Linked DNA regions of Rattus norvegicus. The protein of the gene in region 2 purifies or fractionates together with the protein of the main gene of each other region. This does not show direct contact. Links are inferred from orthologs where the notes say so. Each region holds a gene or a part of one and is shown on either strand. Other genes may lie near its edges. The genes, in order: C1qbp, Maged2 and Nap1l4.

Evidence for each region.
Region 1: the proteins of Maged2 (region 2) and C1qbp purify together in Homo sapiens (affinity purification with mass spectrometry; 3 studies listed by BioGRID and IntAct, counting the BioPlex papers as one, with this or other methods). This does not show direct contact. The link is inferred for Rattus norvegicus from reciprocal best matches to the Homo sapiens genes MAGED2 and C1QBP.
Region 3: the proteins of Maged2 (region 2) and Nap1l4 purify together in Homo sapiens (affinity purification with mass spectrometry; 3 studies listed by BioGRID and IntAct, counting the BioPlex papers as one, with this or other methods). This does not show direct contact. The link is inferred for Rattus norvegicus from reciprocal best matches to the Homo sapiens genes MAGED2 and NAP1L4.

What each region holds. Positions count from the first base shown.
Region 1 is NC_086028.1:56,199,185-56,205,064, reverse strand, and holds the start of C1qbp (complement component 1 Q subcomponent-binding protein, mitochondrial precursor), read left to right. Parts: upstream 1-1,879; 5' UTR 1,880-1,880; coding exon 1,881-2,106; intron 2,107-2,533; coding exon 2,534-2,684; intron 2,685-4,366; coding exon 4,367-4,460; intron 4,461-5,579; coding exon 5,580-5,675; intron 5,676-5,828; coding exon 5,829-5,880.
Region 2 is NC_086039.1:23,165,190-23,170,830, reverse strand, and holds the start of Maged2 (melanoma-associated antigen D2), read left to right. Parts: upstream 1-2,310; 5' UTR 2,311-2,381; intron 2,382-2,904; exon of another isoform or gene 2,905-2,930; intron 2,931-2,997; exon of another isoform or gene 2,998-3,181; intron 3,182-3,264; 5' UTR 3,265-3,286; coding exon 3,287-3,331; intron 3,332-3,691; coding exon 3,692-4,183; intron 4,184-4,820; coding exon 4,821-5,129; intron 5,130-5,262; coding exon 5,263-5,326; intron 5,327-5,576; coding exon 5,577-5,641. UniProt on the Homo sapiens protein: Regulates the expression, localization to the plasma membrane and function of the sodium chloride cotransporters SLC12A1 and SLC12A3, two key components of salt reabsorption in the distal renal tubule.
Region 3 is NC_086019.1:208,170,694-208,176,679, forward strand, and holds the start of Nap1l4 (nucleosome assembly protein 1-like 4), read right to left. Parts: upstream 3,877-5,986; 5' UTR 3,784-3,876; intron 1-3,783. UniProt on the Homo sapiens protein: Acts as a histone chaperone in nucleosome assembly.

The DNA.
Region 1 (5,880 bases), on a different chromosome or scaffold from region 2:
AATCTGCTTACCACCCAAACATTGTGGGAGAATTCTAATAGAGTATTTAGTTTTTTATTAAGCTTTTTAAAAAATTACCTTTCAACACAGTTGCTCAGGGATTACATCAGGTGGGAACCCCATTCTGACTCCACAGATCACTACAAAGAAGTTAATGCTTGTCTTAAGCCGAAGGGACAGCACTCTTCAAGCTTCCTTCAGAAAGTGAAATGTTTGGTGATTTTACTACAGTACAACCTAAGCTGCTTTTCCAGTTGGCAAACTCTCCAACATGAAGACTCCAGTCTGCACAGACTAGCCTCCAACAAGCAGCTGGACTTCAGTTAGCAGCCCTGCGTCCTGCCGGTGTTTATCTTCTCTGTAACCATGGCCACGACACCCGGGACAAGTTTCATTACCAGTCCCCTGTGAGAGCCTTTGCTCTCTTGTAACAGAATTCCAAAACACAGCAACATATTTACTGTGACACAATCCTTGTCTGCAGCTACCTACCAGGACCTGTTTGGAACTGTGGCCATGCATCTAAGATGCCATTCCTTGAGCACATAAGCTAGACTATACCTGTGAGGAAACAATTTTATATCGATTGCTGTAGTGTAGAAAAATAAGAAGTGGATTTGGACTTGCACTCTAATCTCTCTGATCTCAAACATAAGAAACAGTTCTTGTATATAATGCTCAAAAATTACTTTTGACTATTAAGTCCATAAAAACCTGAATCTTGTATACGATCTGTGTGGCCTCTTATTTTGGGCCTCCTTTCCCTTATTTAAAGAATGCTGTTTAGAATATTAAACAGTAGTTTCATTGCCATTCATTCAGTAAGACTCGGTATCCAACATTTGCTTTTGGTGTTTTGAGAGGTCTTTTATGTAACCCTGGCTGTTCTGGAACATGCTGTGTAACCAGGCTGACCTTAAACTCGGCTGTTTGCCTCTACCTCCCAGATGCTAGGACCAGAGAGCATGAGCGGGGTTTTTGGGGTGTGTGTGTGTGTGTGTGTGTGTGTGTGTGTGTGTGTGTGTGTGTGTGTGTGTGAAATTCGGTTGGTTAAATTTTGTTTTTGTTTCTTGGGTTGGGTTTTGGATTTTGTTGGTTTTGTTTTGTGTGTGTGTGTTTCTAATGTCCTTGAGAGTTTTGCCTGCATGTCTGCACTACGTTCGTTCATGGTGTTGGTAAAAGTCAAAAGAGGGTGTCTGCTGCCCTGGAACTGGAGGTAGATGGTTGTGAGAAGGCGTGTGGATGCTGGCAATAGAACTCCAGGCCTCTGTAAGAGCAACAGTGCTCTTAACCACTGAGCCCTGTCTCCAGCCTGTTATCCCTGATTCTCAACCTAAATGTGATGATGAAAGCCATCTATTCCTGCTCCCCCCCCCCCAAAAAAAAACGATGGTCCATTAAAACCGGTACACGAATTGTTAGGGGGTGCAGAGGTTTCCAGCATAAATCCTTCATCCTGTTCTTGGGATTCTGGGTCTAATGTGAGGCCTGGATGCCCACTCCACAGCAGCTGCATGCAGGTCAGTCTGAGCTTTTCAGAACTAGGCGGTTTCAGAAGACCGCTAAGTGATCTTTGTTGGGATGAGACCTGAGCGTATTCCACGAAGTAACAAAGTGTGGCTTGGGTTGAGAAAAGCAGGTGAATTGGGGAGAACGGGCAGCAAGGGAGATTTGATGGCCAGGGTAGAATACAGCTGAGCCAAGGCCTCTCGGGCTGCGCTGGCGGCTCCCAGCAGAGGGCGCGGTGCGGTCCGGCCCGGGTACTGCAGTCCTCCGACGTGGATAGCGCTTCCCGGGCGAGGGCGGGGCTTCCGGCGGCTCGCGAGGTCACACGGTGTCTTGGCCCGGTCGTCCTTCCCTTTGCACGTGTCCACCCCGCGATGCTCCCTCTGCTGCGCTGCGTGCCCCGCGCCCTGGGTGCCGCCGCCACGGGCCTCCGAGCCTCCATCCCGGCCCCGCCGCTTCGGCATTTACTGCAGCCCGCGCCCCGGCCATGCCTCCGGCCCTTCGGTTTGCTCAGCGTACGAGCCGGCTCCGCTCGGCGCTCTGGCCTCCTGCAGCCCCCGGTTCCCTGCGCGTGCGGCTGCGGCGCTCTGCACACGGAAGGTAAGGTTCACGCACCCTAGTCGGAATGCGGCGATCCAGCTCGGAACTGGCCCTCATGATCGCAGGTTCCCCTTCTCGCGTCTTGAAAATGTGGCTTAGCAAAGTCGGTAGGGTCGTGGTTTCAAAGTGTGGTTGTTGGGTCCACGTCTTTTTGGACATGGAAGAGGATAGTTGGAAATTCTTTTGTTTTATACGGGAAGTAATAGTAATGAGTTCATGATGAGAAATAACCATCTCATGATAAGTAATATCAGTTCAGCTCAGTAAATATATCCTGGTGTTTTTATAGAGTGAGGAACGGACGTTTTGAGGCGTGATTTACGCTACAGTCTTAGAACAGCCTTAAGAATAGATTACACGCAGTCCGAGTCAATCGGTTAGAGCAACTACCTTTTCTCACTGTTGATCATTTTGGCCTTTCTTTTAGGAGACAAGGCCTTTGTTGAATTTTTGACTGATGAAATTAAGGAAGAAAAGAAGATCCAGAAGCATAAGTCCCTTCCCAAAATGTCTGGAGATTGGGAGCTGGAAGTGAACGGCACGGAGGCTAAATTATTGCGCAAAGTTGCCGGAGAAAAGTAAGTACTGGCCCAGGGGTTGTATACTGGATTCTCAAGTCAGAAGTTCCTGGTTACAGCATCCTGTTCTGACCATCCCCAGAAGAGCCTGAGCTTAGGCCCAATGCTTTGATAAAATGGCTTTAAGAAAGCATTAAACTTGGGAAAGTTCTTAGGTTCCAGGGAGTGCATTCACTGAATGAATACAAGCTTCTATGGCTTGTATTAAGGAGACCTGAAGCAGCTCCAGAGTATGTAGAGGGAAGCCTGTGGGAGGGGCAAACGCAGTTATTGGGTTATTAATGAGGGGTGCTGTGCCAGTCTGGATTAAGCATTGGGTTGTTGTTTTGTTGTTTAATAGTACTGGTAAATCATTTGTTTAGAACTCCCGTCTGGCTTGTGTTTATAATAGTTGAAAGTGCACGTGTGTAACTGTTAAGTCACAGGAAGAAGTTACCATGTAGAAAGGCCATCAGACAAAGGGAGAAGGTTCTTAGCCAAACTTAGCTCTTCCTCTCCTCAAGGGATTCGGTTTGAGACAAGGTCTCTGTGTGGCTGCTGTGTAGCATAGACTGGGCTCAGACTCTGGGTCCTGCTGCTTCAGACACCTGTGTGCTGAGGTTGCAGACATGCGCCACCACACCTGGCACCCCTAAAACCGTTAAACCCTTGTCTGTGCTGTTTCGTGTTACCCATTCACCCACAGTCTTCCTTGGCTAAGTCTACTTGGACTCTTAAGTGCTTCTCTAGCTTGTGTGAGGCTCCAGGATCCATCCCCAGTGCTTCAGGAGCACAGTGTACAAGAAAGTTTTATTGGGGGTGCGGGGGTTTATAAGCTTAGCAGTAAGTGTGTGTGTGTAGATTAGAAAGTTCAAGGCCAGGCTGAGTGTCGGTGGGGCTCACCGCCTTTAATTCTATCACCCTGGGAGGCATAGACAGGTAGATTTCTGTAAGTTCAAAGCCAGCCTGGTCCACCAGCAAGTACTAAGACAGCCAAGGCTACACAAATAAGTCCTGTCTTGAAAAACCAAAATAAGAGAGGGAAGGAGGGAGGGAAGGAAGAAGTAGGTTTAGTCTGGGCTATCGCAGGTTGTACATGCCCTTTGGTTCACCTTGCCATTCTTTTTTCGGGGGCAAAGTGGCAGCAAGGCATTGCCCAGTTGGACTCCAGGGAGCAGCCCCCAGTACACTCTTCTTGGGTTGGTTGGCCCTCTGAATCTGTGTAAGCGGAACTTCTTTTCCAGGTGTTGAGACAAAGGAACTGTCTCTGACTTTAGAACAGGTGCTGTCCATCACATAAGAATTCTTACAGTCACACAAGGGCCAGGGTGCAGCTGTGAACTTCCGCCAAGCATGGGCAGGGTACTTATTTGAGCTCCAGAATCCCCCCAGAAGGGAAAGAAGCCACTAGGTGTTTCAGTTCCTAGTTTGTGGTTGTGCAAAGTGAATCTGCTCTGCAGTGGCTGTGAGGCTTTCCGGGGCAGATGGCTGTCCACCTCCATTAGCTTCCATGGGAAGACCCCAGGACACCAACCTGGCAGCTTCATCCACAGCTGTAGTCATTTAACTTGTAGGTACACTTCAGATGAAATTCTCTTCACTTCCCTGTGTGGCTAGGATGGAGACATTGTTTCAGTGGGCCTTGCTCTCCTGTTACCACTAGGTTAATGTGTACCTTGGTGTATCTCTACCTGCCTTTCTAGGATCACTGTCACTTTCAACATTAACAATAGCATCCCTCCAACCTTTGATGGTGAAGAGGAGCCCTCACAGGGGCAGAAGGCCGAAGAGCAGGAGGTAAGCAGTGACATGGCAGACAGCCAAGATTTCTGTCCCCAAAAGCAAGAACTGTTTCACTTTCACTCTTTTTAAAATCCTCCCTGCTAGGGTGAGGTGAAGGGTGAGCCTCCTGAGACCTGTAATGCAGTCATTCCGAGTGAGTTTTAGCTGGAGTTGTGGATGGACCATGTTTGTAGAGTGTTGTCCCCTAAGGGCTTAGGGTTTATCACGGGCCTGTGCCCTCACCCCTGCCAGTGTTGGGGAGTGGGGATACTTAGTATCCAGAAGCTATCGTTTGGAGTGTTTTCAGTGTGAAAGATGACAAGTGGGTAATCAACACTAGTCATGTGACCAAAATAGGAAGGCCGGGGGCGGGGCTTTTTAAATTGTGTTTATTTGTATGTTTGGGGCTTATGCGTGCAATTGTAGAGGTCAAAAGCAACTTATAGGAACGTCAATTCCATCCTTCTGCCATGTGGGTTCCAGGGTTAAACATCAGGCTTTGGCAGCAAACACCGGTGAACCACCTTGCCAGCTCAGCCTTAAGAGATTTTTAACATTTGATCAGTTGAGATTTTTCCTTTAGTTGCTGGCCCTCGTGACTGGGTCTAGATAGTATTCAGACATTTTAGAAATAGTGTGCCTGGCCTAGGAGCCAACCACTGAGGGGGCTACAGGATCCCCAGGCCATCTGACTAAGCAGATGGCAGTCTTGTGTACTGACAAGCATGAAGAGCGGAGTTCCCTGTTGTGCTTCTATCCTAGCCTGTACCCAACTCCTTATCCGCTGCCTGGGCCCGTCCTTTGGGTCACAGTAAAGGGAAGGTTCTGCCATTTCTGTTAAGGTGGCCACTTAGCTAGAGCCCCTATGTTCCAGGCTCTGATCCTGTACCAAAACAGTCAAAGGGGAAGGAGGTCTAGGTCTGTGCTTCAGCAGTGTGGGGGAGCAGAGATGCCATTCTAAACCCATGTGATTGATAACCTGTTTAGGGCTGTTGGAAGATTTGAGTGCCTTATCCACTGCCTAAGGCTAAGAAATGGGTAATAATAACCTAATGGCGTGGCTGTCGGACATTCTGAACTTCCTGGGGCACCCTACCAACACTGGCATGTGCTGACTTATTCCTGTCTCTCCAGCCAGAACTGACATCAACTCCCAATTTTGTGGTTGAAGTTACAAAGACTGATGGCAAGAAGACCCTTGTACTGGACTGCCACTATCCTGAGGACGAGGTTGGTAGGGTGGAGTCTCCTGACCTGTGTAGCATGCGCGGGAAAGGTCTGGTAGTCTAGACCAGAGGGGAAGATGGTGAGAGTGGGGTGGGAGCAGGGCTGGAACTGCAGGTCCTCTTGGCACTTCACTTACTTACCTTTGCTGTCTCTCAGATCGGACACGAAGATGAGGCCGAGAGTGACATTTTCTCTATTAAGGAAGTGA
Region 2 (5,641 bases):
TCTACCTGGATGTACCACTGGTGTCATAAAATCAACATTCGTTTCTTTTTTAACTCCATTATAAAATCAACGTTCATTTCTTTTTAACTCCATTATTCCATGACTCAGTGAAAGAGTCACTATCTGCATTCTCTGTTAAATAAAGATGTCAATATTTGACTATGTTCTTTCTTCCAATCTATCCCTCCACAATCTAATTACTCATTAAGTCCTAGCAGTCCACCCCGCCCCCCCGCCAATCTCCTCACTATCTCCCCTGCTAACACTCTAGGCCAAACCACAAGCACTGCTTGTTTGGATGACTACCAAGGTCATAGCTATGCTCTCTAGTTCCAAGAAGACACTTAATCCCCATACAACATCTAAGACCTTCTAAAAGACACACCTACAACATCTATGTGGTGACCAGCTGTAGGGTGCTTTCATAGACCCTCAGGACCCTCAGGTTTGAGAACTTTATTATCTTGGTATTGAAAGTTTGTCATAAGTTGGAAAGGATAGGAATTTGGGGTACCAGAATTGGAAGAAAATGAGAGACTACTCTAATGGTCAGCAGACAGAGCCTAGGAGATAAGAAAGTGGTAGGGTGACATTACAAACTTGGGGGAAGTAACAGTTCACAGAAAATGAAACGAATATATAAACCCGCCATGATGCTATATGAAAATGTGTGTGAATCAAATTGTCCATAGAGCATAGGGATTCGTTATCTTTCATTTGTTCAATAAGGGGAAAGGTGACCTCATGGAGCAGATTGTATTTGTGTATAAGAAAGATCTTGAATTTCATTTCTATAGTTTCTATGAAATATAGTTTATAATAAGCTTTTTCTGGGTCTGCATTCACATGCTCTGTTGCTAATGATATTTTGTCTACTTCTCTTTGTCTTTACATTTTATCTTGTTCTCTCGAAGACACCCAATTATTTATGTGAATGTATGAGGTAACAGAAGTGCCATTTCAAACTAGTGAGAAATGTTAATGAGGGTGAATTTGTAAATGCCATAAAAGTCATTACTTTGTACAGTTAACTTACTCTGAAAATGGTAGTCTTTCAAATGATTTGAATCAGCAAAACATTATAAAACAACAGTCCAATATAGACACCAGGATGTCCTTGTAGCATTGTTTGTAATAGTTTGAAAAAGGAGAAACATGCAGAAGGTACATGCAGCTGAACTAAATAAATCAACTATGGGACATCTCTACAAGAAAACATTATACATTACTAAGAAAATATACACTAAGGGAAAGAGGTTTGAATATATAACTTGAAAAAAGCAGTTACAGAACAGTAGCCTGTGTAGGGAGAAAGCCCAAATAATCAGACTATGAATTAAAAAAATATGGAGGAATGTCTGTCAAAATATTCAATATTATGAGTATGTCTGCAGAAGGAGATTAAAGATAGCCGTTCATATTCTGTTACATATTTTTGCTCTTTTTCTGGTTTTCACATGACAACTTTTGTAGTAAGAAAAATAATGATATAAAATAAATAATTTCAATGAATGAATCGTTTTCTTGGGGCAGTTTGGGTTGGAAGGGCTTCAAGACCGAACCTGGTACAGAGGCATAAACATGGGCTTTGGCGTCAGACAGCATTGAGCAGGGCCCCATTGCCCCACCCCCGAGGAAGGGGCGGGGGTAGGGGGCTGCGGAAAGGGGCTGGGCTGGGCTGGGCTGTCTGCAGCTCTAGTCCAGGAGGCTGAGACTTCGAGAGGGACTGAGGAGCAGGCACACGCATCCCAGACTCACTGGAGGACAAGGTGAGGGAACAAGATTGGGCTTTCCTGGTGAGCAGACAGTGGTTCTAACTACCTGAAACCCATAGCTGGGCAGGTGGGCAATTCTTATTTGACCACTGTAGCTGGAGCAGAGGTGCTGCATTTAATGCGGTGTGGGAATGAAGTCGACCAAGAAAGTAGCAAGCTGTATATGCACTGGACAGCAGAGACTGGCAGAGGTGGAGGGGAGGAAAGGGGGAACTGTGCATGTTTGAAGAAGGAAGAATATGGGGGAATAAGAAGGGTAAGGCGAGATCCAGGGACGAGAATAGGGGATGCAGAGAAGGGTTAAGGGACACTGGGGAGGGGGGTGTGCATAGGTAGTACAGAGAAGGATGTAAGGAATGGGAAGAGATTTTTGTAGAGTAAGTAGGAAATGCGATGGGAAATAGGGAGTCTGGAGTCAGGCAGAGGGAATAGGGAGGGGGGAAATAAGGAGTGTTGAGGGGGGAGGGGCAGACGGGCTGGGACGGAGGCCCCCTAGGGAGGCGGAAAGGGGCGGGACCACTTCCGGCCTTTAGTGGGGAGGGCAGTATCTGAGTTTCGGAGGGGCTTGGAGAGAGTGGACACACTCAGGAATTGCAGGAGGACGAGGTAAGTCATGGGCCCCAGCTTTGGATGAGAGCCTGCTAGGGGTCGGCCCCACCCTCTTGGAGTTGGAGAAAACCTGCCTTAAGAGCCAAATCTTACCGAATCCATCCAGCTAGGAAGGGAGGGGACTGGACCCCGTTTGACTGGGCCTAAGTTGGAATCACTAGTTCTATCCTGAGTTGAGGAGGGGGTGTTACAGGGAAGGAGCCAAACCAATTTGGGTTTTACCGTTTGGAGGGGGGCGTGTTAGGATAAAGGGCGGGACCTAGAGACTCTGTGAAATTGATAGGGTGGATGTGAGTAGGGGAGGGGCTAGGACCACCAGACACTGCGACAATTTGGAAGGAGGGAAGACTTGTTGGGGAGGGGGCGGGGCTGAACAGCATTGCGGACCTGGAGAGGGGCGTGTGTAGGAGCTGGGTGCTGGACTGAGACCATGGCCATTGCGCATGCGCTGTATGTATAGCTAGAAAGGGGCGTGTTGAGTAGGGCTTGCAGAGAGACAGGGCCAGCTGCTCAATGCGCATGTGCACGGTGGACTTCAAAGAACGGGTTTGTACTGGGAAAGCAGGCGGGGTTGAAAGGGCGCTGCAGAAGACGCGCATGCGCACTCCAGGCCTGCGGCTGGGGGGGGTGCGCTGGGAAAAGGGGGCGGGGTCCTCAGAGCTGCCGCGCTGGCACATCTTCCTGGAGGAGGGGAGGGTGCGGCTGCAGAGAACTGAGACCTAGAGACAGAATTTCTGTATCTGAGCACCTACTGGTTGGGGCTCGGGGAGGGGCTGGGCTTTGGGGCCCTAAAGAAGGTGAGGCTCAGCTTCTAGGCAGAACAAGGGATACAACGTTCAGCGGGCTCTCCACTTGACCCAGGCCTTCTCTTTGAACTCAGCTTTGCCAGGTGAACTTGAGACATGTCTGACACAAGTGAGAGTGGTGCAGATCCAGCTCGCTCTCAGGTAAGACCGATCCCCCCCACCCTTTTCTTGTTGCTTTGCTTTTCCAGCCCCTTTTGCTGCCCTAAATCCTTGGAGCTTCTCCTCCCATCCTTGTCATTCTCCACCCACTTCTTTGCCTGGGTGCATCCCCTCTCCCCAGTGGAGGGTAGGCCAGAGGGAAGGGAGAGAGGGTGGGCGGGCCCTTGTTCTGTCATTACTTTGTAACTCAGAGAAGGGAGGCCTGTTTAGGCTAGGGTGGTCGGAGCACACCGCAGGTAAGAGTCTTTGCTAGTCAGAGAAGTGTAGCCTCGGAATTTTGGGACCATTTGCCTTGTTGAGGGTGGGAAGAAGGTCAGTAAACTTCTTTGCTTTCCCTTGCAGGGCAAAGCTTCAGAAAAGGACAGCGGCTCCATGATGCAGGACCTGTTGACTGTGACCCAGAACTTGGAGGTCTCAGAGACACCAAAGGCTAAAAAGGCACCAGAGGTCTCAGAAGCTGCAAAGGTCCCCAAAGCCTCTGGGAACCCAAAGGCGACAGAGGTCTCAAAGGCCCCAGAGGCTTCGGAGGCAGCTGCCACCCAGGCCTCACCTACCACACAGCTGAGTGAGACCCAGGTTCTGGCAGCTGAAAACAAGAGTCCAGCAGCTGACACCAAGACACAGAAGGCTGACCTGCAGGCTATGACAATGCCTGCAACCCAGACCAAAACGGTCAGTTCTGTTACCGATTCTAAGGTCAATACAAAGACTCCGGAGACCGAGGCTCCTGCCTCTCAGTCTGGGGCAGATGAACCAGAGCCTGAGGGTGCAGCTGTCCAAGTTCAGGAGAATCAGGATACTCGGCCCAAGGTCAAAGCCAAGAATACCGAAAAGGTAAGATCTCAGCCATAACTGTCCTTGCTTCTCCACATTCATCTTGCTCATTTGTCTGCCAACATTAAAATGATTCCTGTGTTCCTGAAAGACACAGGGAACACTAAGAGGAGTGTGTCACAGTTCTTGTATCCACAGAGCTCACAGGCTGGTGGGGAGATGAGGCAGGAATATGCATAGCTGCAGGCTGACTGGAACACAGTTTTTATATTTACAGAGTAGCTGTACACTGTAGGCCTTGAGGTGGGCATATTCACATGTGTAGTCTCATATCTGAAACTAACTCCGATGGTGTCATTCTGTTGAGCAGGAACCTGATGTCCAAAAAGAGGACTGACTAGTCTACGGTGCTAGAAGCAGAGTCAGTGGTGGACGTGGGAAGACGAAAAGCCTCAGGCCTTATTTCTGACTTGTTCCTGATCCACTCAGGGAGGAAATTCCCAACTGGTAGTCAGTGATAAGCCCATGACTCAGGATGGCTAGTGTCCAGTGAGGAAGACTCTAATGACAAGGGCAGGGTTGGGGGGATGTATCCCAGAAGAGACAGGGTTGGGGGTACTTTCCAGAAGAGACTGAGTTAGGAGAAAGAGCCATCTGTACCACTTGCTGATCTCTACCTTCCCCTCTTTTGATGCAGGGGAAACACCTGGAAGGGGAAGAGGACGGCAACAGTGATCAGAGTCAGACTTCAGAAACCACAGGTGGTCGGAGGGTCTCAAAGGCCCTAATGGCCTCCATGGCCCGTAGAGCTTCAAGGGGACCCATAGCGTTCTGGGCCCGCAGGGCATCAAGGACTCGGTTGGCTGCCTGGGCTCGGAGAGCTTTGCTCTCCCTGAGGTCACCTAGAGCTCGGAGAGGCAAGGCCCGAAGAAGAGCTGCCAAGCTGCAGTCATCCCAGGAACCCGAAGCACCCCCACCCAGAGATGTGGCCCTTTTACAAGGAAGGGTATGAACTCCATCCTTGACAGGTCACCTTTTCCATTGCCCTGCCTGATATCTTCTCTGTTGTGCTTTGGAGTGTGCTGTGGTTTGTTTTTTGTTGTTTGTTTTTGGCTTTTCACCATTTCTTTCTCACCTAGGCAAATGATTTGGTGAAGTACCTGTTGGCTAAAGATCAGACAAAGATTCCCATCAGGCGCTCAGGTAGAGTCCCACAAACACTGTCCCTCTCCTGGGCTCTGCCTTCTTGCCTTCTTACAAATGTGCTGGGGACAGCCTTCATTCTCCTGCTCCCGCCCCTTCTCGCAAAGTTCTCCCAACAGTAGGGTCTCTATTGAAAAGCCCCCCAACCTGGTTTTGCCACCCATGGCATGGGCAACAGAGTGTCTTAACTGGGCATCGGGGTTACCCGCTATCTCTACAGCACAGATGCTTGCAACACTCTCATTTGCAGATATGCTGAAGGACATCATCAAAGAATATACGGATGTATACCCTGAAATCATTGAACGAGCAGGC
Region 3 (5,986 bases), on a different chromosome or scaffold from region 2:
CCATGTGGTTGCTGGGAATTGAACTCATGACCTCTGGAAGAGCAGTCGGGCGCTCTTAACCGCTGAGCCATCTCTCCAGCCCCTCATTTCCCTTTTTTTTTTCTCCACACAGCAAAAAAACTTTCAGAAGAAAAATTTTAAACTGGCTACTTCTTAAAAATTAAAAACCAAATCAAATAAACAAACCTTTTATGCATATAAATGCCTGCCTGTTTAGCATATATGTGCAATACCCAAAGGCCAGAGGAGGGCACCGCACCAGATCTTCCTGCAACTGAGTTATATAGGTGGTTTTGAGCCATCACATAGGTAATAAGAACCAAACTCATGTCCTCAGCAAGAGCAGCCAGGGCTCTTAACCATGAACACCTAAACCGGCACTCCTGATAGACAATGAAAGGCATAAGCTGTGGAGTGGTATACCCCCCAAAACCTACACTTTTATATATTATCTGTCTTCATAAGAGCCAAAGGTCTTCAAAGTCTTAACACAAGATAAGCAAATGACTGCTACCAACCTAAACTGGCCTGGAGAGATGGGTCAGTGGATAAAGGTGCTTGCCACTAAGCCTGATAATGTGAGTTTGATTACTGGGTCGCATATGGTAGGAAAGAACAGACTCCCAGAAGTTGTCCTCTGACTTCTACTTCCAGCACATATGCATGTATGTGCACGAATATAAAGAACCCTAAAGCACAGTAACTTGGTTCACAGCCTGAAAAGTGGCAGGCCAGAGAAGCTAAGGATGTGTAACTAGGTCCTACAGGAGTACTGACTTGCAACTTAGGATCATGTCAAAGGGAAAAAAGGAATGAACTGTTTTAAGAAGGAACCAGAAAAGGCCCCTAGGATGGGGGTAGAGAAGTTGTTTGTGCCATACACATAGAGGTCAGAAACAATTTCCAGGAGTCAGTTCTCTCCTTTGAACCATGTGGAGCCAGGGAACACATTCAGGTCTTAAAGCCTGGCAGCAGACACCTTTTGCCAACTGAGCCATCTTGTTAGCCTATAATATTTTTAAGCAATCAGATGTACATTAGATTGGTCACTGCAGGTGCTAGGTGGTGTTTTTCTGCTTGCTTCTGGAACTTCTCATCAGTGAGGCCAAGGACCAAAGAAGAAAAACTTCCAGGAGGGCAGAGCATGTCCACTGACTCAATGCAGAGTTCAGGGCTTAGCAAAGGACTTGGCATGAAACAGGTAGCCAGATATCTCAGCCCAGTTAATTAATCCCTGAATGTAAGTTCCATGGTACTGAACTACCTTTTAACATCTTGGCCTATCCTAAGCAATTTTGGAAGACACAAGATGAGGACTTTTCCTTAGCCACACCTGCTTACAACATGTACTTGAAATACCACCAGCAGGTCATCTCACCAGAGATTTCTAGAGGCCAAACAAACCATCAGGCTTCGGGAAGAAAGGAAAATTTTTTTTCTTTTTCCTCAAGCAAAACGCTCCTCTGGTAGAAGAGGTACCTCTGTAGCACTTGGAAAAGTGATGAAAATATGAACAAGCAGATATTAAGACAGTTTTCTTAATCCAGCACTAACATCTCTTCTTGTTAAGAGGCATTGTCTTCCCCCATATTTGAAATTACAACCTCCCAAGACTTTAGTGTCTCAGAAGTGTCCCCCTGCATCTAACTCTCACACTGCAGGAAGGCAAGAGCACTCACTATTTGCTTTACACTGGAGACCCGACATGTGCTGGAGATCTTGCATGAATAAGACACAAAGCCATAAAGCTACTCTGAAGCAGCTGAGTGGGACTTCAATCATAAATATAAATATCTTTTTGTACATAAAGCTCAGAGCTAATCTCACCTCACTAGACTGAGTTTTCTAGACACAGGATGGAAGCACACTGTTGCAACAGCTGACAGAACACAGAAAAAAGGAAATTTAAGGCTGTGCAGCAAGCAGTCAACGTCAAAAGGTAAAGTTCACAAAGCTAGCTTTTATAGTCTTCACACAATAAAAATACAATATGCCTGTTACTGTAAAATTCAATAACAGACCAAAACAGGCGAGCTTCCCTAAAGAAGACAGAGATCTGACAGCTAAATGAAAGCAAATCTATGCTACCATCAACTATGTCTTCAAAATGCCTAAAAGTCCAATCCAAGACTCTGCTATTTACCTATTTAAATAGGCTTCCCAATCTACGATCAATAACAGGTCTCCCAAGCGTGGTCTAGCCTCCTCGCTACCATTAGCAGGGAATCCCTAGCAAAGGCCGAGGGTAGAAGAAAGTCCCTGCTATTTCCCGAGCACCTTCCTCCACTACAGTAATAGGTGCAGCAAAATGACATCAGCCTCAATTCTAAATGCCTAAATGCACGTCATCTTTCTTGCTGTAGTGCTGGCTGGCCTTGAGCTTCCTGCTTCTACCTCTGAAGCGCTGGAATACAGATACAAGTCAGCACACCCACTTACACTTCCTTTTAAGTAAACAAAAAACCTTGTACTCATTGGCTAGAGGTTCCCAACAGCTCATTACTACTGCCTCTTTTTCAGGCACCTGGGCCTAGATCCAAGAAGCAAAAGTACTCATCTATCTGCCTATTTCACACTGAGAGTTGCCCTTAGACTTTCACAGATTTAAACTACCCTTTCTTAAAATTTTAACTTATTTATGTGTATGGGTGGTTTCCCTGCTTGTCTGTGCACTAATTGCAGAGGCCAGAAGGGGGTGTTGGAACCCTGGGACTTCAGTTATAGACCATTAGGAGCCACCCTATGAATATGGGACTCAAACCTAGATCCTCTGCAAGAGCATGCAATGATCTTAACCGCTAAGCCATCTTTCCCACCTCTAATACTCTCTTGCCCAGAATTGTCTTCTTTCAAAACCAAAATTTTTGGTACTGGCCTTTTTATTTGTATACAAATACAACACAAACTTTTATACACGGCATAAAGACAGCTATCAGGGACTTAGTATACTTTCACTAACAGGCAAATAGGGAAAAAAGTGAGATAGGGGTCTTGCTGTGTTACCAAGACAGATTTTAAAGAGTTCCAGAGCAGCTGTGTATACTGCTATATCTATCTTAGCTGGGACATTTTAAGATTCCAGCACAAAGTCAGACCAAAGTGGTGAACTACCTCACCCCTAAGAATCCCATCCCTGCAGTACTATTTATTACCCACTGGTAATCTCTATATACTCAACTACACAAAGTCAAATGGCCAGCTCACAAGCCGTACTTGCCATGACTTCTGTGAGGATCCCAAAAATATATACATTTTCTCCCCAGAACTTTGGTAATGAAATTTCAGAATTTCCAGAAAATTACAAAATCACTATTATTTTCACCAGTTATTCTATATTAACTCTGAAAAACAGTTCAGGATTTAAAGCTAAAACATCAAAATATAAGTGTTTAGATCTTATGACATTGTGAACCAATCGTATTGGTCAACTAAGGAAAAAAACCGACCGACAACTGAGTTTTACAGCATTTAGTTAAAGGCATAAAATGATGTCGCTGTAGACAGGTGAACCATCCCTCTGTAAAGCTCTGTTCTCTCTGAATCTCACTGATCATCTGAATGGTGTCTGATTCAACACGGTATTTAACAATAAATATTTACTATTAAAACTGAGCCAGATTTAATCTGAGTTTAGATGCAAGCTACCATCACACTTGACCTAACAGAGACTTAACGTGCAATATAGGTCAAACACTCCTATATCAAAAAAATCAGAACATCCCAAAACCCATTTCTTTTCGAGCTTTATGGCACATTTTGGACTTCCAGATTAGGGATGCTCACCTGACAACCTACAAATCTTCCACAAACTGAACCACTTCTGAACCCAGGCGTTTCTTGCTAAGGCACACTCTGCCTGTTGCACCTACATCACGTATTACTGTGAATAGAGTTAAGACACGTCAGGAGCTTAAAGGAGCCCCTGGTGTGTAGTAAGCAGAGATTAGTCATCGAGAGGAGGCAACTACTATGACAGGAAGGTGGCAGTAACTTAAAAGCATGTAACTTTTGGACCAAAAACTTGAACTTGAGTCTTTTGCTGGGGAATATGCATACTCTCATTACGGCAACGTACGCGCAGAAAACTACCGCGGAAATTCCTCCAAGAGGCAGCAAAGCAGAATTGGAGTCAGTGCAGGCCAATTTGCCCCAAGAATACCCCTGGGAGAAGGGGTACTGCTGGCGACTGTAGGGGGCCCACGGGTCTGAAGGCTCACTGTGTGTCACTACACTGGCTCCGCCTCCACAGCAGACTCAGAGAGTGAAGTCTACTAGGGCACTGTGCGGAGAGCATGCAAAGCCCGGAAGGGCGAGGCGGCGGCCCAGTAGACCCCTTCCTTCCCAGGCGCGGTCTAAGACAAGGCGCACCCAGGCCCACCTCGCTGGGGAGGCCTTGTTCCTCTCAAGGAACCGCCTGCGCGCCTTCGCGTGGACTCGCGGGCGGCGGGAACAAAGCGCGCTGACCTTCAGCCGGGGGCGGGGCTGCACTGAGGAGGGACGGGCCCGCCATCCGCCGCCACCCGCCACACGGACCTCTGACCGGGCCGCGGCCCGCCTCTGCTCGCCGCATGGGGCGTCGGCCTTCCCGCGCCACCCAAACCCCCGCCTCTGCCTCCTCCGCCCCAGTCCCTCTCCAGCCGCCCGCCGCGCCGTTACCCGCCAGCACCGCACCTCGCGCCTCCTGCGGCAGTGGCGCCCGTCCTAAGCTCGCTCCGGGGCTGCGCCGCCGTGGTCGCCAACAAAACCACCTGCCATTGGCCGTACTGCCAGGCTCCGCCCTCTGGGAGCAAGACGGGCGATGAATGGACAATAGAGATGTTTATCAACTGCACCAGGCACTAGGAGGTGCGGCATCCAATCAAAATCTGTTGAGGGGGCACGGCGCCGAGCCTAAGCCCGCGAGCTATATGTAAATAGAGTAGTGACGTGTACTTCGGCGCACGCGCGGTTCCGTGCCTATTTAAAGGGGCTGTTGGGCGCGGGTAAGATTTTGGGCTTGTAACTCTAACCGGCTCTTTTTAAGGTTTGATCTTCCTGAGGCTTTGTCGGCAGCGCTCTTCCCAGATAACTTACAACTCAAAGCACCTCCTACTTCCCAAGGCCTTCTGGCCCTCTGTCTACAGTTCCTGCCTGACCTGGGACTACCCTTCGGGTAGAAAAGTTCAACACATCTGTACTGACTGGTTTTGTGTGTAGTTATCTAAAAGAAGGGAACTTTGAGAAAAATGCCTTCATAAGATCTAATCGTAAGGCATTTTCGTAATGATTAATGAGGGAGGGCCAGGCCCATTATGGGTACTATCATCCCTGGGCTGATGGTGGGTTTTGTAAGAAAGCAAGCTGTACAAGTCAGTAAGCAGCACCCCTCCAAGGCCTATGCATCAGCTCCTGCCTCCAGGTTCCAGCCCTGCTTGTGTTCCTATCCTGACTTCCTGCAATAATGAACAGCAATATGTGTAAGCCAAATAAACCCTGTCCTCCCCAATTTGCTTTTTGGTCATGGTGTTTTCATGGAAGCAATAGACAACATCTGATAAAAGTAAATAACTTGATTGCAGATACTGGGTCTTTTCCTAACAAAATCTACCAACAGGGTAGTTGGAAACAAAGCTGATGTGGTGATGCAGCATGCATGGTCTTCAATCCCAACACTTGTGAGATAAAAGATGCGGGTGATAGAATGAGCAATTTGTCACTTTTAGCTATGTACCCAGTTTAGGGCCAGTCTGAGCAACACAACCCTGTCTCAAAACTAAACAAAAAATTAAAACGAAGTGTGGTTACTGAAGGCCAGAAGGTCTACAGCATTGTTTTACTGTATTATTTCTCTCTCATCCTTAAATTGGAACTATATATATATAAAAAAAAAAACAGTTCCTTTCCCAAAATTAAGAAAAGTAAATAAGCTTATATGTTTTTACTTAAATTGTTCTGACATGCCTCAAGATATAAGGTTGTTTTTGATTGGTTGGTGGCTGGTTTTGTT